Linked DNA regions of Drosophila melanogaster. Each later gene encodes a partner of the first gene's protein in a complex. Each region holds a gene or a part of one and is shown in the gene's direction. Other genes may lie near its edges.

Evidence for each region.
Region 2: the proteins of PlexA (region 1) and Sema1b are in contact, whole or in part, in a crystal structure (PDB 6FKM), measured with the Drosophila melanogaster proteins. Residues at the interface, in NP_001245428.1 of Drosophila melanogaster: Leu122, Asp123, Pro125, Tyr217, Glu220, Val242, Thr243, Arg247, Asn251, Ser252, Tyr253, Ile401, Ser402, Pro403, Met405, Val408, Leu409, Thr410, Lys411, Leu412, Leu422, Asp423, Val424, Asn425; in NP_001163178.1 of Drosophila melanogaster: Ala106, Leu107, Lys108, Gly109, Gln175, Ala201, Phe203, Ser204, Asp207, Tyr211, Arg216, Gln219, Tyr220, Asp221, Leu222, Lys223, Gln227, Tyr274, Ser275, Ser385, Ile386.

Annotation. Positions count from the first base shown.
Region 1 is NC_004353.4:1,024,077-1,029,127, reverse strand, and holds the start of PlexA (plexin A), read left to right. Parts: upstream 1-2,026; 5' UTR 2,027-2,165; exon of another isoform or gene 2,166-2,358; intron 2,359-2,592; exon of another isoform or gene 2,593-2,912; intron 2,913-5,051. Other genes in the region: mitochondrial inner membrane protein MPV17, read left to right, coding at 1-385.
Region 2 is NT_033778.4:17,680,481-17,685,239, reverse strand, and holds the start of Sema1b (semaphorin 1b), read left to right. Parts: upstream 1-1,740; 5' UTR 1,741-1,847; intron 1,848-2,245; exon of another isoform or gene 2,246-2,345; intron 2,346-4,759. Other genes in the region: CG42561 (uncharacterized protein), read right to left, coding at 1-85, 145-266, 336-356.

The DNA of each region.
Region 1 (5,051 bases):
AACCCTCCGTTTCGGCATCGTTGGACTGGTGTTCGTTGGCCCAACTTTGCGCCGGTGGTACCATTTTTTGGAGTCCCGGGTTCCCAAAACCTACTCGCCAATGCGGCGGGGCGTTACCAAAATGCTGGTCGACCAGACCCTTTTTGCGCCACCCTTTACCATGGCCATGTCTTTTTTGGTGCCACTCTCCAACGGAGAGCCCATCGACCGAATCCGGCAGCGCATTCTTGATAGCTACCTATCTATATTGGTCCGCAACTATATGCTCTGGCCGGCCGCACAGATGCTAAACTTCAGATTCGTGCCGCTGGGCTACCAGGTGCTCTACGCCCAGTTCATCGCCCTCGTATGGAACTGCTACCTCTCCATGATACTTAATAGCTAGGGCACTAAGTTCCCCGCATAAGTAATACGGTGCCTGTGTATCAAATTTAACAAATACATTATTATCCTTATCTCGACATGTGACTTCGGACTGGATTTGGTTGTCGTTTTTTTAGGGGTATTCGGCGGAAAGGCTGTACATATAGAATGGAATTTATAGTATACATGTATTATAGGCACTCGAGTTTTAATCCTACAAAGCACTTCAAAAAATTTTGCTTGAAATCTTATTTCCCTCCGTTATTAGTCGGTTGGGCATGTGCTTCTCAAAATATTTACTCGATCATTTAAATTTGAATTGGATAAGCAAGATTGTATCATAACGACGTCACGCCCAATCTAACGCCCACAATTTCTGTGGGCGTTGTGTTGTTATTTTGTTTTCATTTAATTATCTGTCATGATATTGACATACCACAAAAATTTTGCCACACCCAAACTGTTATGCCCACTCTTAAGAATTATTTTTCGATTTTATTTTATAAATTCTCTTGGCTGTTTCTATCGATTTGCCAAACGTATTTTAGCCACGCCCACTGTTCCCACTATCTGAATAACGGGTAAACCTTTTATTTCTGACATTTTAAGGCAGATTGTGGGAGGTAGGGTTAAACAACAAACGTTCTGCAACAATCTTGAAAAATGTGGCGTCACTTGAATCTACATGCTCTGAGCTCTCTAGAGTTCATAGTTCCGAAAATATCAATTCTCCATAAGTTTGTTCCTTTCTACATTTCTATTTTACGATTTAGGGGAATAAACTTTTGAAAAGTGCGTCAACGGTATCTTCTGACAGTTTCCCACAAGTTGTTGATATCCTGTTGTTTAACGTGAGATAGACGATTTATGGATAGAATTTACCTTAGTAGCGCCAAAAATACCGCAAACTGCGCACGCACGAAGCTGAGAATGTAAGCAGCCAATAGTGGAATACACTTCATGTGTACATGTGCAAATAAACACCCTGCAATTCAATTCATTTAACTTTTATCTATATGTCATTTCTTAGAAAAAATCTCTATTGCTAATCAGCCCTCAAAACAGTGAAATTATTGATTATTTTTTTTTCTTACTAACTAACTAAGTCTCTAACTACATGGTCATAACAACAATGCTTTAAATCAGATGTGTAAATATGCACATCTGCAGTCGGTGTCAGTTGAAGATATTTCAATAGGTCATAAAATGTGCACAAAGGCCAACAAAAAAAAGTTGTGCCATGAAATTTTAAATAACAAAATTATGCTTTGATACAGTTTGCGCACATATTTGCTGTGGATTGAGGAGCTGTTAGCATGAAATTCTTAAGTCCAATTTTTCAATTTACATTTTCATTGTGAACAGACCTTTATAGTCTCATCACACTATCGATATTAAAGAAAACGAATATATTAAATATATTTATTTCATTTTTTAATAATGCTCAAGGAAATTAGAGAGATAATAAATATTATCTGGCTTGGGAATCAAACCCCTTCCAAATTACTTTCGTACGAGTCATTACACAGTAACAACAAGACATTTTCCATGTACTCGTGAACATTACATTTTGAAGTGTGCCATCGGTTAATTTAGGTATCGATAGTGATAGGTATGAACGGGTCTTAGGACTAACAACTAGTTGTTTAATTCTCTCCTCTGCCTTATAGTATCGATAACATTTACATACAATGATGTGTAAATTAAAGTGTGGTGTAATTCGAAAATAGACAGAAATTATGTTCAGTGACTTGCGATGTAAAGAAATAATAGTTAATGAGTGAAATATAGGAAAACAAACAGTAAGCCGGATTTCCGATTGTTCACTAGAAAACTATCGCCGTTCCATAATTCAGATATACATACAAAATTGTCATTTTTTGCTAAATATTAAAAAAAGTGTAATAAAATCATTTAACGTTCCAGTGTATATTGCATTGCTTTAGAATTATTAAGAAAATACAAATTTTCTTTAACTGGTATACAACGTTGTATGTATGTAAAAATTAAAAACGGCCATGCAATCATTTTGTTTTATGTACTTAAGTATATATTATATTTATGTAAATAGTATTTTTAAAAAGTGTGGCTCTTATTTAAATACATTGTTAGCTGCGTTTCACACATACGAAATTAAATGCATCATGCATTGGGAAAGATAGCAGCAAAATAAAATTTGCTGTATATGATGTGCATGTGTATGCATATAAATATATACATTTTGTATAGATGTGTGTGCACCAGAATATCCCAAAAATTCCAAATGCAAAAGATCGAGTTTTACTTCTCTCAATAATCTTTGCCTAAAAACATTTAAACTAAGTGCACTTACATTTTACCGGTTTATTATATGTATTTAAATTCGGGCGCTGGCCAAATTTGTATGTATGTATGTGCAGTATGCATATATGCATTTGCAATGAAATTACCAAATATTGTGCACGCTCGCCCAAATTTGAAATCCTGGAATAGCCGTGAATATACTTTAAAACTACATAAATTCTCTATAACGAAATGGCTTGGAATAAGTGGCCTGAGTGCGAATATATGTAAGTGGAAAAAAATTGAACGTTTGGAACTGAATTTGTTCAAAGTTTTACAATTAATGTGTTAGGTAGAGGAAATTTTTTATTGCAAAAACGAGATATGCTTATATAGCATACATAGGAAACTCCTTAGCTTGGGATTTCCATTCCATTAATATTTATAGCATGATATGGATTCATGTTTAATATATATGTACAGTTGCGGTCAACATATTAGCGGCAGTAGCGGAATATATTTTGGTCGGTTATAGTCCTATTCGGAGACAGTAAATGGTAGAGCACGTTGGTTCATGAATTATGCTTTGGGTGAGATTTTCATATTAAGGAGTTGAGCCAGTATATCTGAAGCTCCATCTTCAGTTCCGTCACCGGGTTCTTGCTTTGCCGAACCAAGCGCTTGGATGCTTGGAGAGCATCCAAGTTGGACATTGAAGGCTTTCCTCGCCGCGTTTCGTTCTTTTCGACAAACAGCAGTGATTTGCGGATCATTTTGTTTGAACAACCGACAATGCGACCAATTTCAGCGTAGGTTTTACCTTCAGAGATCACGTTTTTAATCAAATTTCTTTTTTCGACGGTACAATGCTTTCCGTGACCCATGACTAGAGAATTTTTGGTCTTCGTTTGGAGCAAATTCAATTAAAACCTTTAATGCAACACCTTTTTTTCAAAATTTGTCGTAAAAAAAACCAAAGCAATCACTCCCATTAATTTTATTCAGCAAATACGTTTTCAGTGCTATTTTTGTTACCGCCTCATTTCGCGCACTTTTGCAGCAAGTGCCCAAAAACAAAAAGAACCGTTAAATTGAGAGACTAAAAATTTATTGCTCAAAGAGGCAACATATGGTACTTATTATTCATGCAATCTGGCTTAAAAAAAAAAAAATTTATAATTTTTTTTAGGATATCAATTTTCCACCTGCAGTAGTGCTATTATTTTAACCTTAACTGTAGTTTCAAAACTATTTGTACGACATCATTTTAAACTATGCGATAAACTACCCATGTTTCAGGGAAGTACACTTACAGCCAACCCACAGTTTTTGTTTTGACGTGATTAAATTTTTAAACTGAGTTTTTTTGGCTGTGAAGATTTTCAAAATTACGATTTATTGGGTGTTCACGAAATACATTTATAATCTATATGTAACAGCATTTCAATGTTTGGTGATCCACACAAATAGAATTCGAAAGAATACTATAGTCGAGTTCCCCGACTCAGATACCCGTAACTCAGCTAGTGTGAATGCGAACGCGAAATTGCTTTATTTTTCTGGGATATCAATATTAAGGAATAAAATGAGAAAAAATTTAAAATTTGTTTTAAAATGTGAGCGTGGCAGTTTTGCGCGGTTTTAGGGCGTTAGAGTGGGCGTGGCAACATAGGTTAACAAACTTTCGCTCCGTATTTGTCTTTAGAATCTGTATGCTGAATCTCAACCTTTTAGCTGATATATACAGCTGTGTTCATAAAAATAGCAGTGCTTGGGACTTGCGAGTTTAGGATAAAAAATCATATGATTTAAAGTTGTAATGGGAATTTTTTTCATAATTTTATTATTATATCAAACAATTCAACATATGTTTCACTTTTATTTTTTCAATAGATATAGATTAAAACAACATAATAGGCAGAAATTCTGGTGTTCACTGAAATAGCAGTGATATGAAAAAATAGTAACAACATGACTTAGAACTAACATAGTTTTTTTTTAATGTGTTAATTAGGGACTAATACCTGGTTGGATTGCCTTTTTTAGCCAGCACAGCCTTACACCTACTCGGCATGGAGTCCACGAGGACGTTTGGGGGAATTTTTGCCCATGCATCCTGCACAACTTGCCAAAGCTGAATCTTGGACATCGGGGAATTCTTCGACACGTATTGTTTAATGTCCCCCCACAGGTTTTCAATCGGGTTTAAATCGGATGATGGTGCTTGCCACGGCATTGCATCTATTCTATTTTGGGTGAACTTATTCTTAGCCGATTTGCTTCTGCGTTTCGGATCATTATCCTATTGGAATGTCCATTATAAGGGCATATTCCATTCAGCATATGGCAGTAAAACATCACTAGGTATATTTACATACCATTAATCATATGTATGGGACCCACACCGTTGTATGAAAAACAGGCCC
Region 2 (4,759 bases), on another chromosome or scaffold:
GTTAATCACACCTTTAACCTGCAGATGTCCGGCTTCATTCTGGCTCACGGATTCCTGGCGAATAGTGCCACCCGGATGTTCGATTCTACAGATTCAGAACTAACTAAGTAAAGGGAAGCTCTCTTCTGGACTTTGATTAGCTACCTGAGAAAGTATTCTTGATTGAGGGGCTCAAGTTGAAAGCCATTTGTGCGGATTTGCGGAACGATAGTTGGTGAAATTTGCGGTGCCGCGTTGACCGCAGTGAAGATGAAAATTGCCAACAGCTAAATATTATTATGATTTGAAAATGGTATGTTTAAACTTTGATTTGCATATGCGAAAAGACTACTCACCGCGAAAAAATCGCGAGACATGATGACCTGTCTGTGGTTGAACAAAAACTATCTGAATATCTGAACGCTTGGTCAGTTTTGAGCCCAAAACGAAGGCTGGTTGATTTAAGTAGCAAGCAAACGAGTTTTGATTTTTACGATGAAGATACAAAAAAATCACACATCTGCTTCGCGAGAAACACTTCAGTACACCTACTAATTCAAATAATTGCAAAATTCCCATCTTATAAGGCAATTGAAAAAGGGACACAATAAAATCGACTCATCTAGCAAAAGCATTCGGTAGCCTTCGCTGTGACAATTAACTTGGTTCAAATCAATCTCCACACGTCATGCCCAATGCAAAATCATTCTGTCATGATAAACTTGTGACTACATTAAACACCTGGCCTATGAAATTTTCTTGGGGAGTTCCCAAGTCAAATTTTAATTCTTTCTACGTGAGATTCTTACAGTTCTAAAAAGTCTACCCCGGTATATGACTAATAGGATTTTGACCTTTAAGACACGGTCCAATTGGGACTTGTAAAAAATGATTTCTAAGAATTTGCTAAAAATAATTTGAAATGGAAAAATACTTAACTGAAAATAAGAAATAATAAGAAAATATAGAATTGTTTACCCAAAAATAAAAAAATTTTAATTGTAAAATTGTCAATTAATTTATTTTTAACAATATATGTATGATTACACAGTTTTTATAGTTGAATAATAAAAACTTTTCAATAATTAAAAATTTGACATAGAGACAAACTTTTGCATTATATATGCACTTTCTGTATTTATTAAATGTTTATACTAAAAGGTTTTTTCCATTATAATAATATCTATAAAAAATTTTTATAGAAAAACACTTAAGACCAATCAAATTTCATTTTACCGGTTTGCCAATCTTTTGAACTTTGACATTTTATCAATTTCACCGATCGGAATCGATACTTATCTCGGTCTTCTTCTTCCCCCTTTCCATCACACTTCCTGTGTATGTGAATGCAAATTTAATGGGCGAGGGGGTGGTGGGTGGCTGCGAGGGCGGAGGCTGCAGCTCAAAACAAACACAAAAATACCCCCACATACACAGCGCGCCGCCCACACACACACACGTACTCGCAGACGCAGGCACATAGACGATGTAAAGTTTTTCACTGTTTATAAAACCTTATCAATTTCACTTACTTTGCAGCCATTGTGTATTGCACTTGTAACCTCTCGTTGTCGGAAGATTATTGCACTTTATTTCTGCTTCATTTTATTCATTAGTTTTTATTTTTCTTTGCAGAGGAACTTACGGCGCTGCCATACCTTAGTGTTACTAAAAATCACCGTATTGCATAGCTGCTGGTAGTCTTCAATACTAGCATTCCGTTCGGTATATTTGTGTGGTATATTTTAGGAGGCCCACTGCGGTCACTTTTAAAATGGCCGTCGATCAGTGAAGTTGTATACACTTTTTTCGTGTTCCGTGTTTTTCGCTTAATTTGATCGTTTATTTAAATGTTTTTATGAATTTTGGTGAGTTGAAAAGCTGATCGAATGCAGCCTGCTGGCAAAGGATTCGATCGAAAAGGATTTTGTGCAAACTTCGAGTGCCCGAAATAGTGTTTTCTATCCCCAAAGACAACCCCCGCATAGCGTCTCTCACCTCCAGGCAACAACAACACACCCAAAAGAGACGCACTGGAAGCATAAAAAGCAACAAACAGGTTTTCATTGTGTACAGACGTGTGTTGCTCTACCCTCTCGCTCTCGCCCCCTTAATTTATGCGCATGCAGCAACAGCAGCAGAAACAACAAAACCAACAACATGTATAAAGCAACATAAGAAACAAGTAATACAAGAAAATAAATCATTGAGTGTGAGTGTGTGTGCGTGCATGTTGGCTGTAAACAGCAGCCAAAGTGGTAAAGTTGAGTCGAATCGAGTCGAGTCGAAAAGAGAAGCGGATAATAAGTGGCAAAAGAAGCTGAAGCAAAAGAGTTAGCCAGCTTAGAAGTGACGCGTAGCTACAGGTGAATATATCGGACTTGTTTTTCAAGCGCGAGACAGGCGGTGGCCGCTGGTCGCTGCTCGCTAGTCTGTGGAACAGTAAAACGGGTTTATGGTTCTGATGTCCAAAAAGAAATAGAATTGAATCGATTAGCAGCCTAATCAATTTACCACTGAGCTGCAACGGTAAACGGCAAATGGAAGTTGCATTTACATACAAACGTATGCACAAGTTCCAGCCCATGTTCCCAATTTCCAAAGTGCGTTTCCCCCCCTCATTTCAAGTGGCCAAAATTGGAACGCGTCCCACTTAACCCCACTGCGGTGCAGGCTGTCCAAATTGACCCTCGTAAATAACTCCCACATTTGCGGCCTCTGTGTTTTGTGAATGAAAACTTAAAAAGGAAAAACTAAAAACTTGTCGCGCCATAACTACGCCTCTCCAAAAAATGAAATCAAGAAAAAAAAAGAATTAGCTGAATCATCTAAATATATAGTAAACTGGTTCGTCTGCATGATTCACCGAACATCGGAAGTCCGGTGATAAACCTATCCTACAGACCATGTCTGTTCCGTTTATTTTTGTTTGATAAGTGGAAAATAAGAAAAACAGAACAGAGCAATGAACCTCCGGCGATAGCGGTTTAACAAAAGAAAACAGACTTCACAATTGATAATTATTCATTAAAAAAAATATATACACACTACATGCAGAGTGTCATTACATCAGATCAGAGTCCAAGCTCCACCAAAACTGGCAGCCAGTCGGGCTCCAAAAGGCAACATCCACTACACGCCACTCGAATCCACCTGTTGCCACTTTGTTCGGCTTAATAAAAACGCCCACGGACCCAAACGGGTTGTACAGTGGGCATTCTTCGAGTAAGAAAAACAAATTAGAATCCTCCTCATAAAACAAATGAACTCTTATTACTACGTTTTCTTCTTTCGGAAGGCAACATATCACTAGATAGATAGATAGATCACCAAAAAATCTGCTAAACTTAATGTATGTAATGCAATTTCAATTGCTCATTACCTAAACGCTGAAGATAAAAGCCTTAAAATTAGTTCAACCCTAGTTGGGAAAACTGATTTGCTCAAAAAGTAATACAACCTATCAGAAAATATAATTGGGATATCAAGACTCATACATTTAGGTAATTGAAATGTAGTTATGATGGTCTTTAAGTAAATGATTATTAAACGAATAAGGAACTTTCATAACACCACTTTGTAATTGGACATTATCTGAAAAAAGTGTTTTATTACCGGCGTAGTAAAGGCTGTAATTCAACTCAGCGGGGCCTCACTGTCTCAGGCGATTTCTACCGTGGGCGGACGATTGTAAGCGGTGCATATCTAATAACTACACGCTGAAATCAATTTTGTATTGATCACGTCTGTAGTAAGGAACCCTGCCAGTTCTTAGATGTTTACACTTTTTTACTAGAAAAAAACGTATCTCCATTTAACACGTTTTTGTCGGGCTTCCCACACGCAGGAAAAAAAAACAAAAAAAAGATGAGGTAGAAAAAGGGAGCGGCAACAAGTGTCAAACGTGACATACTTTTCACCCTTATCTTGATGAGGCTGTTATCTCGCAACTCTTCGAAACCCATGCTTATCAGCGGGGAGGTGGTCGGGCGTGCCACCCAACTATCCCAAAAATAGTGGCACACATTCGTAACTTGATCTCGAATGTGAGCTCATTAATTTAGCGCCAGACGGTCAGTTTTTTGTGGAACTGGCATAATTGTATCTGTATTTTTATGGGCTGCCAGAAGCGGAACGGACTTCCTGGCATTGAACCCAAGTGTGTGGCTTGTGAAATATGAGAACGCCACTAAAAAAAATAAATGAAAACTTACGAAAACGCCGGTTGCAAGTGTGGTTACCTCGATAAGCCAAATACCCTATGTAGCAATAATATATATAAGGTCAAGAATAGATATATATGTACGACTAAGACCTTTCTAACTACAGCAGAGAGGAGAACCAAGTTGCTGAGATCTAGGTGCCCCAGAAAAGGTGTTAATTAGCTGTCTTTATTCCTAGATGACTGATTATTTCTGTAAGTGGCTCCACTGGGCTACAACTAAAAGAAGAAGTACCGACCCAAGTGGCGGTCGGTACCATTCGCTGATTTCTCCGCTCACTAAGCCGCAAAACGGAGTGATAAATTGTGCCGCTGAAGAGGGTATTCAAATGTAATTTATATTATTTATTATGCACTTTTATGGCATTTCTCGTACGTGGGTTCTTGAGGCCAACCCCCATCATTTGAGGGCATTAAAGCGGCCAAGAAGATGGGCCGCAGGTCACTTAACCTGACCTGTGACTTAAAACTCTGGCGGCTGAGCCGTGAAAAAACCTTCGCTTAGGTAAATGAAAGACGAATACGATACGTTACGTTGCGACGATGATACAGACCACC